Linked DNA regions of Saccharomyces cerevisiae S288C. The protein of the gene in region 1 binds, or shares a complex with, the protein of each later gene. Each region holds a gene or a part of one and is shown in the gene's direction. Other genes may lie near its edges.

Region 1 (7,414 bases):
CTGTGGATAAAACTTTTCATGATAGTCAGGTTTTAGATATTCGCTATGCTGATTATGAACATCATCATGACCAGAAAAGCTTCCTCTATTATTTTCGCTTGCAGATCGCCTACTATCTGAAGATTCTAAAGAATGTGTAGAAGACTCGTCTTCTAGTATTTCATCTGTTTGACTTTCTAGTTCAATAGGAATTCTTTCTCTGGTCGTATATCTCGATAAACTGGATGATGAATGTGTAGCGGAATGATAAACGAACCCAGTGTCAGAATTTTCTCCCAGCCTTTGTGGTGCCCTTGAACCAGAGCGACCCCTCTTACTGAAAGATCCATAAGACTTTGCATTTGAGAGAGATGATGCTCTGGAAAAACTTCGAATAGAAGAACGCCTGGAAGATAGGCCCGTACCATAGATTCTATCTTGTTCATAAGCGGGGGTGGCATCCCAGGCCATGTCATAATCTGTATTTTCTAACGTGGAAGCGCCTTCAGCATTGGATATTTGCTCCTGAGTGAAAAATCGAAAATGAGAAGGGTTTCTAGAAGAGCTTCGAGACTGTTCAGCCGAGGATAATACTAAAGGCTCTGATTCAGTCAATCGGCGGCCTCTCTGCTCTAGGTTCCCTGAAGAATGCGGACTTGGGAGGTTGCTTGATTGAAAAGAATGAGGGTGATGGAATGATACAATAGAACTTGGCACGGCTTCGAATGTTGCACCTGCGTACGGTTCCGAATTGTTCTGATCCAGTACCATCGCGGAAGTCAATGTGGCCGCCGTAGAAGTAGTGGCTGTAGAAGAAAAAGAAGCCCTCGGCATTCTTCGGTTCCTTTCACTCCTTTGGCCATGTTGAATTTGGTTTGAAGAGGGAATATCCATTACCGGAGTATATGCAAGATCTATCAGTAAGTCTGGGCTCCTTTTTATTTTAAAGAAGAATCTATTGACTCTGAACTATTTTCAATCAAAAATAAATTCACAAGTCCAACACCTCCAACTCTATGGTATTGCGTTCTCTTTTTGCCCTTTTTTCCTTTTTTTCTTTTTTTCACTACTCTTTCCTTGATTTCCATTTTTTTTCATTTTTCACTCTTCTATCACCTCTTCATACCCATACCCCCTGTTGGCCGCGGCTGCCCTAAATACACACATATATATATATAAAACAAACAAGGCATTTTTCAAATTAATAAAACTAATAAAAAAAGCTATAGAGCCTTTTCTTAGAACACAGTGTTGAAATATTCGCTTTTTTCTTTTTATTGAAACTCCTTCACTTCCAAAAAGACACGATTCTTAATGGCTATTCTGAGTGAACATAAGGACACTAAGAACTAACAAGTAATTGAAAAAAAAAGAAGAAGACATGATGAAGAAGAATTAGTGAGCAAAATACAGTTGAAGTTCCTAACGCTTATTTTCCTTGCAGATTAATTCCAATACATTCGCCACTATTGGAATTTTGCAGGTAGCCAATTTTCGCGTATATATACTAGGTTTAGGAAAAATAGCCGCCGGTAAAAATAGTGATAGGCTGTTACCCGAATACCGTTGTTCGCGATATGTTAAAACCGCGTTTGAAAGACAAATATCAACAAATTGATTGACGAAACGGGGCCATCCTGAGGCGGTAGGACAATAAGTTAAAAGAAAGGTTACCTCTAGTCTCAATAAAGAAGATATTTGTGACGTACGTGGACCTTTTGTATATAAATCATCGGGAAGGTCAGCTATTCTGTTGTTTCTCTAATCGCGACTTTCTGCTATTTTCACGACTTTCGATTAATTATCTGCCATGAACATACCACAGCGTCAATTTAGCAACGAAGAGGTCAACCGCTGCTATTTAAGATGGCAGCATTTGAGAAATGAACACGGAATGAACGCTCCGAGTGTGCCGGAATTTATCTATTTGACTAAAGTGTTGCAATTTGCTGCCAAGCAGCGACAAGAATTACAAATGCAACGCCAACAGCAAGGCATTTCAGGTTCTCAGCAAAATATTGTTCCAAATTCTTCAGATCAAGCAGAACTGCCGAATAATGCTTCCTCGCACATTTCTGCTTCTGCTTCCCCGCATTTAGCTCCGAATATGCAATTGAATGGAAATGAGACCTTTAGCACTTCTGCTCATCAATCACCAATCATGCAAACACAGATGCCATTAAATAGCAATGGTGGTAATAACATGCTACCACAACGGCAATCTTCGGTTGGTTCATTAAATGCAACTAATTTTTCACCAACACCAGCAAACAATGGAGAAAATGCTGCGGAGAAACCAGATAACTCAAACCATAATAACTTAAACCTTAATAATTCCGAGCTTCAACCGCAAAATCGATCATTACAAGAACACAACATACAGGATTCAAATGTGATGCCAGGTTCGCAGATAAATTCTCCTATGCCCCAGCAGGCGCAGATGCAGCAGGCACAATTCCAAGCACAACAGGCGCAACAAGCGCAACAGGCACAACAGGCACAACAAGCACAAGCGAGACTGCAACAGGGGAGAAGATTACCCATGACAATGTTTACTGCCGAGCAATCCGAACTGTTAAAGGCCCAAATCACATCTCTAAAATGTCTAGTAAATAGAAAGCCTATTCCGTTTGAATTTCAGGCTGTTATCCAAAAATCTATTAACCATCCTCCAGATTTCAAAAGAATGTTACTGTCTTTGAGTGAGTTTGCGAGAAGAAGACAACCCACAGATCAAAATAACCAATCAAATCTCAATGGCGGCAACAATACGCAGCAACCCGGCACCAATTCCCACTACAATAACACTAACACTGACAACGTTTCTGGGCTTACCAGAAATGCACCTTTAGATAGCAAAGACGAAAATTTTGCATCTGTTTCACCAGCTGGTCCATCTAGTGTACATAATGCGAAGAATGGCACCCTCGATAAAAATTCGCAAACTGTAAGTGGCACTCCAATCACGCAAACAGAATCGAAAAAAGAGGAAAACGAAACCATTTCAAACGTAGCTAAAACAGCTCCTAATAGTAATAAGACCCACACCGAGCAAAATAACCCGCCAAAACCGCAGAAACCCGTTCCTTTAAACGTCCTTCAAGATCAATATAAGGAAGGAATAAAAGTGGTAGATATAGATGATCCTGATATGATGGTTGATTCTTTTACGATGCCCAATATCTCACATAGTAATATCGATTATCAGACTTTATTGGCCAATTCGGATCATGCAAAGTTTACTATTGAACCTGGCGTTCTACCGGTTGGTATTGACACACATACCGCTACTGACATTTACCAAACTTTAATTGCATTGAACCTAGATACTACGGTAAATGACTGTTTGGATAAGCTACTAAATGACGAATGTACGGAATCAACCAGGGAAAATGCTCTTTACGATTACTACGCCTTACAATTATTACCGTTACAAAAAGCCGTAAGAGGTCATGTATTACAATTTGAATGGCATCAAAATTCTTTATTAACCAATACACATCCAAATTTTCTTTCGAAAATAAGAAACATCAACGTTCAAGATGCATTGCTAACAAACCAACTTTATAAGAATCATGAATTACTTAAGTTAGAAAGGAAGAAGACTGAGGCAGTGGCCAGATTAAAGTCGATGAATAAATCCGCCATCAATCAATATAATAGAAGACAAGATAAAAAGAATAAAAGGTTGAAGTTTGGCCATAGACTCATTGCTACGCATACTAATTTAGAAAGGGATGAGCAAAAGAGAGCTGAAAAAAAGGCAAAAGAACGTTTACAGGCTTTAAAGGCGAACGATGAGGAAGCCTATATAAAATTATTAGACCAAACCAAAGATACAAGAATTACACATCTTCTAAGGCAAACAAACGCATTTTTAGATTCTTTAACAAGAGCCGTGAAAGATCAACAAAAGTACACTAAAGAAATGATTGATTCCCACATAAAGGAAGCATCGGAGGAAGTGGATGATTTGTCCATGGTCCCCAAGATGAAGGATGAAGAATATGATGACGACGACGACAATTCTAACGTCGATTATTACAATGTCGCACATAGAATTAAAGAAGATATCAAGAAGCAGCCTTCAATATTGGTTGGTGGTACCTTAAAGGACTATCAAATCAAGGGTTTACAGTGGATGGTTTCGCTTTTCAATAATCATTTAAATGGTATTTTAGCAGACGAAATGGGTCTTGGTAAGACTATCCAGACGATATCCTTACTTACATATTTATATGAAATGAAGAATATTCGTGGGCCATATTTAGTCATTGTTCCTTTATCTACACTGTCAAATTGGAGCAGTGAATTCGCGAAATGGGCTCCTACCTTAAGAACTATATCATTTAAAGGTTCGCCAAATGAGAGGAAAGCCAAACAGGCTAAAATAAGGGCAGGTGAATTTGATGTAGTTCTGACTACCTTTGAGTATATTATTAAAGAAAGAGCACTTTTATCCAAGGTCAAGTGGGTCCATATGATTATTGATGAAGGCCATAGAATGAAAAATGCGCAATCCAAGCTTTCTTTAACCTTGAACACACATTACCATGCAGATTATAGATTAATTTTGACAGGTACACCACTTCAAAACAACTTGCCAGAATTATGGGCCTTATTGAATTTTGTGTTACCCAAGATTTTCAATTCCGTGAAATCTTTTGATGAATGGTTCAATACACCCTTTGCCAACACCGGTGGGCAAGATAAAATTGAGTTGAGTGAAGAAGAGACGCTTTTGGTTATCAGGAGATTGCATAAAGTCTTGAGACCCTTTTTATTGCGTCGTTTGAAAAAGGATGTAGAAAAAGAATTACCGGATAAAGTTGAGAAGGTAGTGAAGTGCAAAATGAGCGCTTTACAACAAATTATGTACCAACAAATGTTGAAATATCGTCGTCTTTTTATCGGTGATCAAAATAATAAGAAAATGGTAGGTTTAAGAGGTTTCAATAATCAAATCATGCAACTAAAGAAAATCTGTAATCATCCTTTTGTATTTGAAGAAGTTGAGGACCAAATCAATCCAACAAGAGAAACGAATGATGATATTTGGCGTGTTGCTGGTAAATTTGAACTATTAGATAGAATTTTGCCTAAGCTTAAGGCAACTGGGCATAGAGTATTAATTTTTTTTCAAATGACCCAAATTATGGATATTATGGAAGATTTTTTAAGGTACATTAATATCAAGTACCTGAGGTTAGATGGTCATACAAAATCTGATGAACGTAGTGAGTTGTTACGTCTATTTAACGCCCCTGATTCTGAATACTTGTGCTTTATCTTATCAACTAGAGCGGGTGGTTTGGGTTTAAATTTACAAACTGCAGACACTGTCATTATTTTTGATACTGACTGGAATCCTCATCAAGATTTGCAAGCTCAGGATAGAGCGCATAGAATAGGTCAGAAGAATGAAGTTAGAATTCTAAGATTGATTACTACGAATTCAGTTGAAGAAGTTATCCTAGAGAGAGCCTACAAGAAGCTAGATATCGATGGTAAAGTCATTCAAGCAGGTAAATTCGATAACAAATCTACATCGGAGGAACAAGAAGCGTTGCTTAGATCTTTGCTGGATGCAGAAGAGGAACGTAGAAAGAAAAGAGAGTCTGGTGTTGAAGAAGAAGAGGAGTTAAAAGACTCAGAAATCAACGAAATTCTTGCTCGAAATGACGAAGAAATGGCTGTTCTTACAAGGATGGATGAAGATAGATCAAAGAAGGAGGAAGAATTGGGAGTAAAGAGCCGTCTCTTAGAAAAGAGTGAATTACCTGATATTTACAGTAGAGATATTGGTGCCGAGCTCAAACGTGAAGAATCAGAATCTGCTGCTGTTTACAATGGAAGGGGTGCAAGAGAACGTAAGACGGCAACTTACAACGATAATATGTCTGAAGAACAGTGGTTAAGACAATTTGAAGTTAGCGATGATGAAAAAAATGACAAGCAGGCAAGAAAACAACGAACAAAGAAGGAAGATAAGAGCGAGGCGATTGATGGGAATGGAGAAATTAAAGGCGAAAACATTGACGCTGATAATGACGGTCCTAGAATTAATAATATATCGGCCGAAGATCGGGCAGATACGGATTTGGCAATGAATGACGATGATTTCTTGTCTAAAAAGAGAAAGGCAGGAAGGCCCCGTGGAAGACCTAAGAAAGTGAAACTTGAAGGATCTGAAAATTCTGAACCACCAGCGCTTGAATCAAGTCCAGTTACTGGCGATAACTCTCCCAGTGAGGATTTTATGGACATTCCAAAACCACGTACAGCGGGAAAAACATCTGTTAAATCAGCAAGAACTTCAACAAGGGGCCGTGGTCGCGGTCGTGGTCGTGGTCGAGGGCGAGGACGTGGACGAGGAAGGCCGCCAAAAGCAAGAAATGGGCTTGATTATGTCCGCACGCCCGCTGCGGCAACGAGTCCTATTGATATTAGAGAGAAAGTTGCTAAACAAGCTCTAGACTTATACCACTTTGCTCTCAATTATGAAAATGAAGCTGGAAGGAAACTTTCTGACATTTTCCTCTCCAAACCTTCCAAAGCACTATATCCCGACTACTATATGATTATTAAGTACCCTGTCGCCTTTGATAATATTAACACGCATATTGAAACGCTAGCTTACAACTCCCTTAAAGAGACCCTTCAAGACTTTCATCTGATATTTTCCAATGCTAGGATATACAATACTGAGGGTTCAGTAGTATACGAAGACTCTTTAGAACTGGAAAAAGTGGTTACGAAGAAATACTGTGAGATAATGGGCGATAACTCACAACTCGACTTTACTGAATTTGATGAACAGTATGGCACCAGACCCCTCGTCTTGCCTCCTGTTGTTACTTCAAGCGTGGCTGAATCTTTCACAGATGAAGCGGACTCGAGCATGACAGAAGCGAGTGTATAGTACCTTCCTAAAGCAATATAAGTACTTATTCGTTTATACGTAGACAAACATTAATCCCTCTTTTTTTTATTGTACCCATTAACCGAGTTGGGATGTTTAATATCTCTAGTATAACGTGCCGTATATTTCCTATATATATATATATATATATTTATATATATTAGATTTTAAGTTAATTGTTCAACTAATTGATCGATTTCGCCTCTTATAATTCTGCTATACATATTTATTTTAAACCATCTCTTTGAACAAAGTAATATGTCGTCATCATAGTGAACTTGTTCTTGGACCTAATTATAAATTTTCCAATACGGAACAAATTATTTGTTCCAACACCCTGCTAGCAACACAGGGCAATATATATAAAGAAGATATATCTACTACTTCTTTTCCTTGAGTATATGTCTTTAATAGATATTTCATGTATTTGATTCATCTTTAATGGAAATACTCGGAGATTATATACAGGTCCGAGATGGCCTTAAAGATATTTCCCACAAATGTATTTACCAC
Region 2 (3,706 bases), on another chromosome or scaffold:
TTTGATCAAAGAAAATATTCTTTCAACACCAAATGAAATACCAACACATGGAATTTGAGTAGATTTTTTGCCGGAAGCTTCAGAGAACATGTTGACCAAATTATCATATCGACCACCGGCTGCAATAGAGCCGACACCAACGAATTCTGACGCGTCTTCTGCAGATTTGGCCTTCTTCTTCAATTCTGAAGCATTCTCTGGTGGAGCAGATGCAGAAGTAACAACTTCATAGATCAAACCTGTATAGTAATCCAAACCTCTTGCAAGAGAAAGATCAAAAGAGATGAATGAGTCAATGTCAAATGCTTCGGTATACTTCATCAAAGTAGCAATATCATCCAAACCTTGTTTAGCCTTTTCGTTTGAAGTAATGTTGGCATCTGCGGATAGAACAGCGTGAATTTCCTTCAAAGAACCATTTAATTTAACATACTCACCGATTTTATCAGCAGTTTCTTCGGATTGACCTTTTTCTTCGGTCATTTCCTTCTTGACTGCTTCCCATGGAGATTTGTCCAACTTATCGACAGCAGAAGAGATTTTCCTCACATCCTCATCTTTAACACCAGCGATTTGGAAGATCCCATCAAGAATCTTCCTGTGATTCAATTTGATTTTGAAATCTTTGATTCCCAAACTGGTCAAACCTTCCACTAAAATGGACAAACATTCGGAATCAGGAACCATAGATTCGAATGTGCCTGCAACGTCAAAATCACACTGGTAAAATTCTCTCATACGACCCTTAGTCATGGCTGGTTGGTCTCTTCTGTAGACTTTTGCAATGTGATACCTCTTGATACTCTGAATATTGTTCATGGCAACGTACCTGGCAAAAGGAACGGTCAAATCGTAACGTAAAGAACATAATTCACCACCCTGGTCCTCCAAGTTGTAGATCAGTTTGGAGTCCTCACCATACTTGCCTGCTAAAATTTCTCTTAACTCGAAAACAGGTGTGTCGATAGTGACACCACCATGCTTCTTGAATAGGCCAGATAAAGTGCTAAAAATGGCTTCTCTGATAACCATATCACTATCAGCCCAATCCTTCGTACCCTTAGGTGTTTTCAAAGACACTTGTAGTTTACCTTTCTTTGGAGCCTTTGAAGCTTTTAGAGCATTAGCAGCATTAGCAGTAGGAGCAGAAGTAGCAGCAGCGGTAGCGGATGACATCCTGATTATCGAAGACGACTTTATAGATGTGACTACTTTATTTAGTGATCTACTAAGCATTAAGCAAGAGACGAGCAGAAAGGAACTATTCTAAAGTAACACATTGGGCCGTAAGACTCATTTAAAAGCCCGGTCGATCAAGGCCATAAGTCATCTTCGAGCTGGTTAGAATTGAAGAAAAAAAAAAACTTGATAAAAAATTTCAAACAAAAAAATTATCGCCTTACACGGAAACGAATAGATTTACTTATTACACAAGAGAGAACAGTGATTATAAGGAAAGAAAGAGATATATACAATATTTCCATCAAAGACGTACGCATCACGGCGTTCATATAAGTATATCATCGGCAAGTCTTCACACCTTTCAATACTTAGACTTGTTCACCTTGAGTGATCCTGAAAAAAAAAAATGATGGCCGCGTTTCGAAGAAAATAAAGAAAAAATAAAGCAAACCTCAAACAAGAAAACAAAGCGGAAAATGGTAAACAAGAGAGATAGAACAGAGTAGTAGGCTATTAGCAAAAGCGCGAGAATTACTACATTATAAAGGATCTGTCAAGAATGACATTGAATAGGAAGTGCGTAGTGATACATAACGGATCGCACAGAACGGTGGCTGGATTTAGTAACGTTGAATTGCCACAATGCATTATACCCTCTAGCTATATTAAAAGAACAGATGAGGGGGGGGAAGCTGAGTTTATATTCGGAACCTACAATATGATAGACGCTGCGGCAGAAAAACGCAATGGTGACGAGGTGTATACATTGGTAGATAGCCAAGGGTTACCGTACAATTGGGACGCATTGGAGATGCAGTGGAGATATCTGTACGACACCCAATTGAAAGTTTCACCCGAGGAACTGCCACTGGTGATTACGATGCCTGCCACCAATGGTAAACCGGACATGGCCATATTAGAGCGCTACTATGAGCTGGCGTTCGACAAATTAAATGTACCAGTATTCCAGATTGTAATCGAGCCATTGGCAATTGCCCTATCCATGGGCAAGAGTTCTGCATTCGTGATTGATATCGGCGCGTCAGGCTGTAACGTTACTCCCATCATTGACGGTATTGTGGTGAAGAATGCTGTAGTGAGATCTAAATTTGGCGGTGATTTCTTGGATTTTCAAGTACACGAAAGGTTGGCTCCACTGATTAAAGAAGAGAACGACATGGAAAACATGGCCGACGAGCAAAAAAGGTCCACCGACGTTTGGTACGAAGCAAGCACGTGGATTCAGCAATTCAAGTCTACTATGTTGCAAGTAAGCGAAAAGGACTTGTTTGAGTTGGAAAGGTATTACAAAGAGCAAGCAGATATATACGCTAAGCAACAGGAGCAGTTAAAACAAATGGATCAGCAACTTCAGTACACGGCGTTAACGGGAAGCCCCAACAATCCGTTGGTTCAAAAGAAAAATTTTCTATTCAAGCCATTAAACAAGACTTTAACCTTGGACCTTAAGGAGTGCTACCAATTCGCAGAGTATCTCTTCAAACCTCAACTGATATCAGACAAATTCTCACCAGAGGACGGACTGGGACCGCTAATGGCAAAATCAGTCAAGAAGGCCGGCGCTAGTATAAATTCAATGAAGGCCAATACCTCCACCAACCCAAACGGATTGGGTACAAGCCATATAAACACCAATGTTGGCGATAATAACAGTACTGCCAGCAGCAGCAACATATCACCAGAACAAGTATACTCGCTACTGTTGACGAACGTCATCATCACAGGATCTACCTCTCTGATCGAAGGTATGGAGCAACGCATAATAAAGGAGCTGTCAATCAGGTTCCCGCAATACAAATTGACAACTTTTGCCAACCAAGTCATGATGGACCGTAAAATCCAGGGATGGCTGGGCGCCCTTACAATGGCCAATCTGCCATCATGGAGCTTGGGAAAATGGTACTCTAAGGAAGATTACGAAACGCTGAAAAGAGACAGAAAGCAGTCGCAGGCTACGAACGCAACAAACTAGTGGTAAGGCGCAAATATCCAAAAGGGATTGTAGGCGGCTAGAAGGAGATGAGATCTCGACCCATTTTTCTCAGCGCCGGTAGTAGCTATCAGTAAGGAGTAAGCGGGTTTCCTTCAAGATTCAGTCCACCCCCTACTTTGAGTGAGGGACATATAAACAAACGCGATAACTCGATGAACCCATTCTAATATAAAAAAACTGTATAAATAGTTATATAGAGATGAACTCTAAGCTAGTGAGGCCCACTGTAAACAGCCATTTTTCAATATGCGCTACCCGGCGGCGGAATATCGTCCCAGCTACATGATAGCCGCTTTTTTGTCTCTCTTTGTCCCACCTGTTCAAAGACATTTGGTAATCAGTTTGTCAGGACAATAGTAAACAAAAGTGCGCAAGTACACATGCGCTGCACGTGCGGCCGGAACAATGGCGCTTTTGGCTCGTCCGGATGATGCGAAAGGGAAAATAAAATCTCGCAATCGGAAAAACACTCGCGAGAACCAAAACAAGGATCCCCTAAACCCAGTACCC
Region 3 (6,112 bases), on another chromosome or scaffold:
TCAAGACGTCGCAATGATGTACATATGTTTTCTTTGACACCTTGTTAAGCAAGGTGATGTTCAGCTGACCGGCAGCATCGGCTTCCGCGAGCTGCACTCTAGTGTCTAAAAGAAAAGCTATACCCTGACACTGCAAGAGGGTCTTCGTGGCAGAAGCCAACTCATTGTCCATATTTTGACAGATCTCGCTTTGAGATTCAACGATAGTAACCCGAGAGCCCAAATTATTGAATATGCATGCGATTTCTAGTCCAATTGTACCTCCTCCCATGATAGTAAAACGTGAAGGTATATAATCCAGTGACAATGCCTTATCAGATGAAATTATCTTGTCATTATCTATTGCAACACCAGGACACTGAATAACCGCAGATCCGGTCGCCACAACAATATATTTCGCCTCTACGATGAACGGTTTCATGCCGCGCTGCGCAATCTCAACGTGGTGAGGATCTTTGAAAGCAGCCGTGCCTTTATACACAGTAACATTATTTTTAGATAGCTCACGTTTATACACATTGCCCAACTCTTCTATATTATGTTTGAGTGCACTCTGGGCCGCCTGCATATCGAATTTTGCAGGAAACAGCCGCGTGCCACGTTGCTCGATAAGTTCTTGCTGTTGTAGCAGCCGATAAAGATAAGACTCATATAACAAGGTCTTGGACGGGACTGCCCCGTCTACAAGGTAGGCGCCCCCCAGCGAGGCACGCTGGTCAACACATGCTGTGAGCAGGCCTGCTTGCGAAGCCTGCATCGCTGCAGTAAAGCCACCAGGCCCGCAACCAATTACCAGGACATCGTAAACTGCCGCAAAATCCTCCATCGTGCTTAATATTTCGTCTTCACCTCCCATTACCAAAAATGCTCACCGTTAATTATATCATACTTCTCTTCTCCTCTCGTAAAATCGTGCGCATGTTAAATAGCCGCCGAAACAGCAGATGCATGCCTGCAGGTCTGGGTGTACCCCCTGCCTGAGTGTTCCACCCAGGCCTCGCCGGAGGAAAATGCCACCGCACTCAAGTTCGCACAGAAACTACCGCATAAATTTATTCTAACCCGGAACTGACGTTTATCGTGATATGAACTTTGGGTATCTCCGATTACGAAACGACGCCACCCCTCCTTCCCCAAAGCACCGAGAAAAGATTTTTTTTAAAACTGAACGCTGATTGACTTTACGTATTATTACCACTATGCATTATTGTTGTTTCTGTTGTGGTTGTTGCCAGTTGTAATCATATTCACATTGCGTTTTAGTCATAACCACCTTCCGGTATTCATCATTCGTATTGAATAACAATATTTATACCGCAAAACACTATACGGCAAGGCAACTGATTACACTTTGTTTACCTTATTTTTTTATTATTTATTTTTCTAGAAAGTATTGTTGTGTGGCTCTATCCTTATTACACCATCTCTGCTTTGGCATTTCGCGTTGTTTCCTCTCACGGATTGCAGATTATTGTTCACCAGGTAATAATCACTGACTGGCGGCTATTTTCCTATTACACTCATTATTCTTAAAATTTTCTTTTTCTATCTCTATTTTCTTTCTTTTCGTGTCTTATAATAATAATAATAATAATAATAATAAAAATAGTAATAATAAAAATAGTAATAAATAAAGATGGATTTCTTTAATTTGAATAATAATAATAATAATAATAATACTACTACTACTACTACTACTACCAATAACAATAATACTAATAATAATAATACTAATAATAATAATAATCCTGCTAATAATACCAATAACAACAATAGCACAGGCCATAGTAGTAATACTAATAACAATACTAATAACAACAATACGAATACCGGAGCCAGTGGTGTAGACGATTTTCAGAATTTTTTCGACCCAAAACCTTTTGACCAGAATTTGGATTCCAACAATAACAACAGTAATAGTAATAACAATGATAACAATAACAGTAACACGGTAGCCTCCAGCACGAACTTTACTTCTCCAACAGCAGTCGTTAATAATGCCGCTCCTGCTAATGTTACCGGTGGAAAAGCTGCTAATTTCATTCAGAACCAGTCTCCCCAATTCAATTCTCCATATGACTCAAACAATTCCAACACAAATTTAAACAGCCTGTCTCCTCAGGCTATTTTAGCCAAGAATTCAATCATTGATTCTTCCAATTTACCTCTTCAAGCTCAACAACAGCTATATGGCGGTAACAATAATAATAATAGCACCGGAATTGCGAACGATAATGTAATAACACCCCATTTTATCACCAATGTTCAATCCATCAGTCAAAATTCCTCATCTTCTACTCCGAACACAAACTCTAACTCTACTCCGAATGCAAATCAACAATTTTTGCCATTCAATAACAGTGCTTCCAATAATGGTAATTTGACGTCTAACCAGCTTATTTCTAATTACGCTGCTTCAAATTCAATGGACAGATCATCCTCTGCAAGCAATGAATTTGTTCCGAACACAAGTGACAACAACAACAACAGTAATAACCATAATATGCGTAATAACAGCAATAATAAAACGAGCAATAACAATAATGTCACTGCCGTGCCTGCTGCAACTCCCGCTAATACCAATAATTCAACTTCAAACGCAAATACAGTGTTCTCTGAAAGAGCTGCAATGTTTGCCGCTTTGCAGCAAAAGCAGCAGCAACGTTTTCAGGCTCTACAGCAGCAGCAGCAGCAGCAACAAAATCAACAACAGCAAAATCAACAACCACAACAGCAACAACAGCAACAACAGAATCCCAAATTTTTGCAGAGTCAACGGCAGCAACAACAAAGATCTATTTTACAAAGTCTGAACCCGGCATTACAAGAGAAAATATCTACTGAATTGAATAACAAACAATATGAACTTTTTATGAAATCTTTGATTGAAAACTGTAAAAAAAGAAATATGCCGTTACAATCAATACCAGAAATCGGCAACAGAAAAATAAATCTTTTTTATCTTTATATGTTGGTTCAAAAATTCGGTGGTGCAGATCAAGTAACAAGGACCCAACAGTGGTCTATGGTGGCCCAAAGGCTGCAAATTTCCGATTACCAACAATTAGAATCAATCTATTTTAGAATTTTATTACCTTACGAAAGACACATGATTTCCCAAGAAGGTATAAAGGAAACTCAAGCGAAAAGAATATTCTTGCAACAGTTCTTACAAGAACTATTGAAGAAAGTTCAACAACAGCAGCAGGCCGCTGCATTGGCCAATGCCAACAATAACATTAATAGTGCATCGTCAGCACCAACCCCCGCGGCTCCTGGCGCGTCCGTTCCTGCTACAGCAGCACCAGGAACAGAAGCAGGGATCGTTCCGGTTTCAGCAAACACTCCAAAAAGCTTGAATAGCAATATTAATATCAACGTAAATAATAACAATATTGGCCAACAGCAAGTTAAGAAGCCAAGAAAGCAAAGAGTGAAAAAAAAGACCAAAAAGGAATTGGAACTAGAACGTAAAGAAAGGGAGGATTTTCAGAAACGACAACAAAAACTTTTAGAGGATCAACAAAGGCAACAGAAATTGCTATTAGAGACAAAATTACGTCAACAATATGAAATCGAACTAAAAAAATTGCCTAAAGTCTACAAGAGATCAATTGTTAGGAACTACAAACCCCTAATCAACCGCCTCAAGCATTACAATGGTTACGATATCAATTACATCTCTAAAATAGGAGAGAAAATAGATTCCAACAAGCCAATTTTTCTCTTCGCGCCAGAGTTAGGTGCAATTAATTTACATGCTTTATCAATGTCCCTCCAATCGAAGAATCTTGGAGAAATAAACACCGCCTTGAACACCTTGTTGGTCACAAGCGCTGACTCGAACTTAAAAATATCTCTGGTCAAATACCCTGAATTATTAGACTCCTTGGCAATACTCGGCATGAATTTACTGTCAAATTTGTCACAAAATGTTGTTCCATACCATCGAAACACTTCTGACTATTATTATGAGGATGCTGGATCAAATCAATACTATGTTACCCAACACGATAAAATGGTTGATAAAATTTTTGAAAAGGTAAACAACAACGCTACACTTACACCGAATGATTCTAACGATGAAAAAGTCACTATCCTGGTAGATTCTTTAACAGGTAATCAATTGCCCACCCCTACTCCTACTGAAATGGAGCCTGATCTCGACACTGAATGTTTTATAAGTATGCAGTCGACATCTCCCGCAGTTAAACAGTGGGACTTATTGCCTGAACCAATAAGATTCCTCCCTAACCAATTTCCTTTGAAAATTCACAGAACTCCTTATTTGACTTCTTTGAAAAAAATCAAGGATGAAATTGATGATCCATTTACAAAAATAAATACCAGAGGGGCAGAGGATCCCAAAGTTCTGATTAACGATCAACTGTCTACCATCTCGATGATTTTGAGGAATATTTCATTCTCCGATAACAACTCCAGAATCATGTCGAGAAATTTTTACCTAAAGAGATTTATATCTGATCTACTTTGGTTAGTCTTAATCCATCCAGAAAACTTTACATGCAATAGGAAAATACTAAATTTCAAGAAGGATTTGGTTATTGTTTTATCAAATATTTCTCATTTATTAGAGATCGCTTCGTCCATTGATTGCTTGTTAATTCTTATTCTAGTCATAAGTTTTGGTCAACCAAAACTCAATCCAATGGCGTCTTCGTCATCATTTGGCTCTGAATCTTTGACCTTCAACGAATTCCAGTTGCAATGGGGAAAATATCAAACTTTCGGTGTAGATATTTTGGCCAAATTATTTTCATTGGAAAAACCGAACCTAAATTATTTCAAATCAATCCTTCTGAACAAAAACACAGGTAACAACCTCTATGATCGCAACAGTAACAACAACCACAAGGACAAAAAGTTGTTACGAAGACTTTTGAATTTATACAATGATAACAATAAAAATAATAACAATAGGCACAACTTGCTAAATGATGTGGTTTCGTTTTTATTTTCTGCCATACCGCTGCAGCAAGTGTTATCGCAATCAGCTGATCCAAGTTTGCTGATCGACCAATTTTCTCCGGTAATTTCTCAGAGTCTAACTAGCATCTTAGTCATTGTACAAAAAATATTGCCGTTATCCAATGAAGTATTTGAAATCAGTGAGAATAATTCAGACAGTAACAGTAACAATAACGGCAACAAAGATTCTAGCTTCAATTTCAACAAGAATTTACCATTTGTGTGGTTGAGCTCTGAAGAAAATATTGGATCTGGACTATTGAAGTTAAGTGAGATAATATTGAATATTAACAATTCCACAAGTAAGAATACTTTGTTACAGCAACAAAATTATTCAAAGGTGCTCCTACCGTCAATTAACATATCCTGTGTTCAGTTAATCAAATGTTTGGTTGAAAAAAGTATTTGTTTTGAAAACTGCCTAAACAACGACCCGGAAATATTAAAAAAAATAGCATCGATTCCAAATTTGTTCCCCACGGATTTAGAAATTTTCCAGTTATTCACTAATCCATCAGTTGATATTCAAATAATAAACCAGTATCAATTACTTTACAATTTAAAAAATGATATCCTAACCAATTTGGAATGATGCGATTTTTTTAAACAATATTCTTTTACTGCTTATTTCTTCCTTGCGCACTATTTTCTTTTTATAAACCTATATAAAATGTTGTAACTAATATAATAGACCTTATGGAAACAATACAGTCGGAAGAGCGCCTTTAGTGCCAAAAGCCCAAATGAACGTATAGCTGCCATGAAGTCACATCTTGGGCGGCTCAACTAAACAATGGTTTTAGTAACTTCCCACTGGTCCCGTCGCGGCTACAAAAATTCCTTGAAATTGTATAAAGGAGTTTATGACTCCATTTCAGGCAGTAAATACAATTCATACACACCACACATACATTCAGAGTTAACGTTCGCTATAATAAAACGGTAGAGAGTCAGATGTGGAGTCAGCGTGGGGGGTGGGGTAACACTCCACCTTTGAAAACGGTGTGACTTCGCCCTTTCGATGGGAGGAGGTAAAGCTCAAATAGGACAGAATCATCCAAGAAAATTTCAAGCTGCCCACAAAGTCAAGATCGCTTCAGAAGCTGTTCGGCGCAGTATTGAG

The links. Proteins that work in one complex are often made in the same cells at the same time.
Region 2: the proteins of SNF2 (region 1) and ARP7 are in contact, whole or in part, in a crystal structure (PDB 4I6M), measured with the Saccharomyces cerevisiae proteins. Residues at the interface, in NP_014933.3 of Saccharomyces cerevisiae: Arg604 (codon at 3,599), Leu605 (codon at 3,602), Ser607 (codon at 3,608), Asn609 (codon at 3,614), Ser611 (codon at 3,620), Ala612 (codon at 3,623), Gln615 (codon at 3,632), Arg619 (codon at 3,644), Lys622 (codon at 3,653); in NP_015359.1 of Saccharomyces cerevisiae: Glu25 (codon at 1,814), Leu26 (codon at 1,817), Leu147 (codon at 2,180), Ser148 (codon at 2,183), Gly150 (codon at 2,189), Lys151 (codon at 2,192), Ser152 (codon at 2,195), Asp171 (codon at 2,252), Gly172 (codon at 2,255), Asp431 (codon at 3,032), Leu438 (codon at 3,053), Leu441 (codon at 3,062), Thr442 (codon at 3,065), Asn445 (codon at 3,074), Leu446 (codon at 3,077), Pro447 (codon at 3,080), Ser450 (codon at 3,089), Leu451 (codon at 3,092).
Region 3: the proteins of SNF2 (region 1) and SWI1 are in contact, whole or in part, in a cryo-EM structure (PDB 7C4J), measured with the Saccharomyces cerevisiae proteins. Residues at the interface, in NP_014933.3 of Saccharomyces cerevisiae: Leu427 (codon at 3,068), Leu430 (codon at 3,077), Ile438 (codon at 3,101), Lys439 (codon at 3,104), Val440 (codon at 3,107), Val441 (codon at 3,110), Asp442 (codon at 3,113), Ile443 (codon at 3,116), Asp444 (codon at 3,119), Asp445 (codon at 3,122), Pro446 (codon at 3,125), Val450 (codon at 3,137), Asp451 (codon at 3,140), Ser452 (codon at 3,143), Phe453 (codon at 3,146), Thr454 (codon at 3,149), His474 (codon at 3,209), Ala475 (codon at 3,212), Phe477 (codon at 3,218), Thr478 (codon at 3,221), Ile479 (codon at 3,224), Glu480 (codon at 3,227), Pro481 (codon at 3,230), His491 (codon at 3,260), Glu553 (codon at 3,446), Trp554 (codon at 3,449), His555 (codon at 3,452), Gln556 (codon at 3,455), Asn557 (codon at 3,458), Ser558 (codon at 3,461); in NP_015309.1 of Saccharomyces cerevisiae: Ser659 (codon at 3,611), Ile660 (codon at 3,614), Val661 (codon at 3,617), Arg662 (codon at 3,620), Asn663 (codon at 3,623), Tyr664 (codon at 3,626), Lys665 (codon at 3,629), Pro666 (codon at 3,632), Leu667 (codon at 3,635), Ile668 (codon at 3,638), Asn669 (codon at 3,641), Arg670 (codon at 3,644), Leu671 (codon at 3,647), Lys672 (codon at 3,650), His673 (codon at 3,653), Tyr674 (codon at 3,656), Tyr677 (codon at 3,665), Ile695 (codon at 3,719), Phe696 (codon at 3,722), Asn718 (codon at 3,788), Leu719 (codon at 3,791), Gly720 (codon at 3,794), Asn723 (codon at 3,803), Leu726 (codon at 3,812), Asn727 (codon at 3,815), Leu730 (codon at 3,824), Val731 (codon at 3,827), Ser733 (codon at 3,833), Ala734 (codon at 3,836), Asp735 (codon at 3,839).

Annotation. Positions count from the first base shown.
Region 1 is NC_001147.6:854,634-862,047, reverse strand, and holds SNF2 (SWI/SNF catalytic subunit SNF2), read left to right. Parts: upstream 1-1,789; coding exon 1,790-6,901; downstream 6,902-7,414. Other genes in the region: YPK9 (putative acid anhydride hydrolase), read right to left, coding at 1-873. UniProt on the Saccharomyces cerevisiae protein: Involved in transcriptional activation. Catalytic component of the SWI/SNF complex, an ATP-dependent chromatin-remodeling complex, which is required for the positive and negative regulation of gene expression of a large number of genes.
Region 2 is NC_001148.4:637,784-641,489, forward strand, and holds ARP7 (Arp7p), read left to right. Parts: upstream 1-1,741; coding exon 1,742-3,175; downstream 3,176-3,706. Other genes in the region: HTS1 (histidine--tRNA ligase), read right to left, coding at 1-1,236. UniProt on the Saccharomyces cerevisiae protein: Component of the chromatin structure remodeling complex (RSC), which is involved in transcription regulation and nucleosome positioning. RSC is responsible for the transfer of a histone octamer from a nucleosome core particle to naked DNA.
Region 3 is NC_001148.4:519,378-525,489, forward strand, and holds SWI1 (Swi1p), read left to right. Parts: upstream 1-1,636; coding exon 1,637-5,581; downstream 5,582-6,112. Other genes in the region: IRC15 (Irc15p), read right to left, coding at 1-856. UniProt on the Saccharomyces cerevisiae protein: Involved in transcriptional activation. Component of the SWI/SNF complex, an ATP-dependent chromatin remodeling complex, which is required for the positive and negative regulation of gene expression of a large number of genes.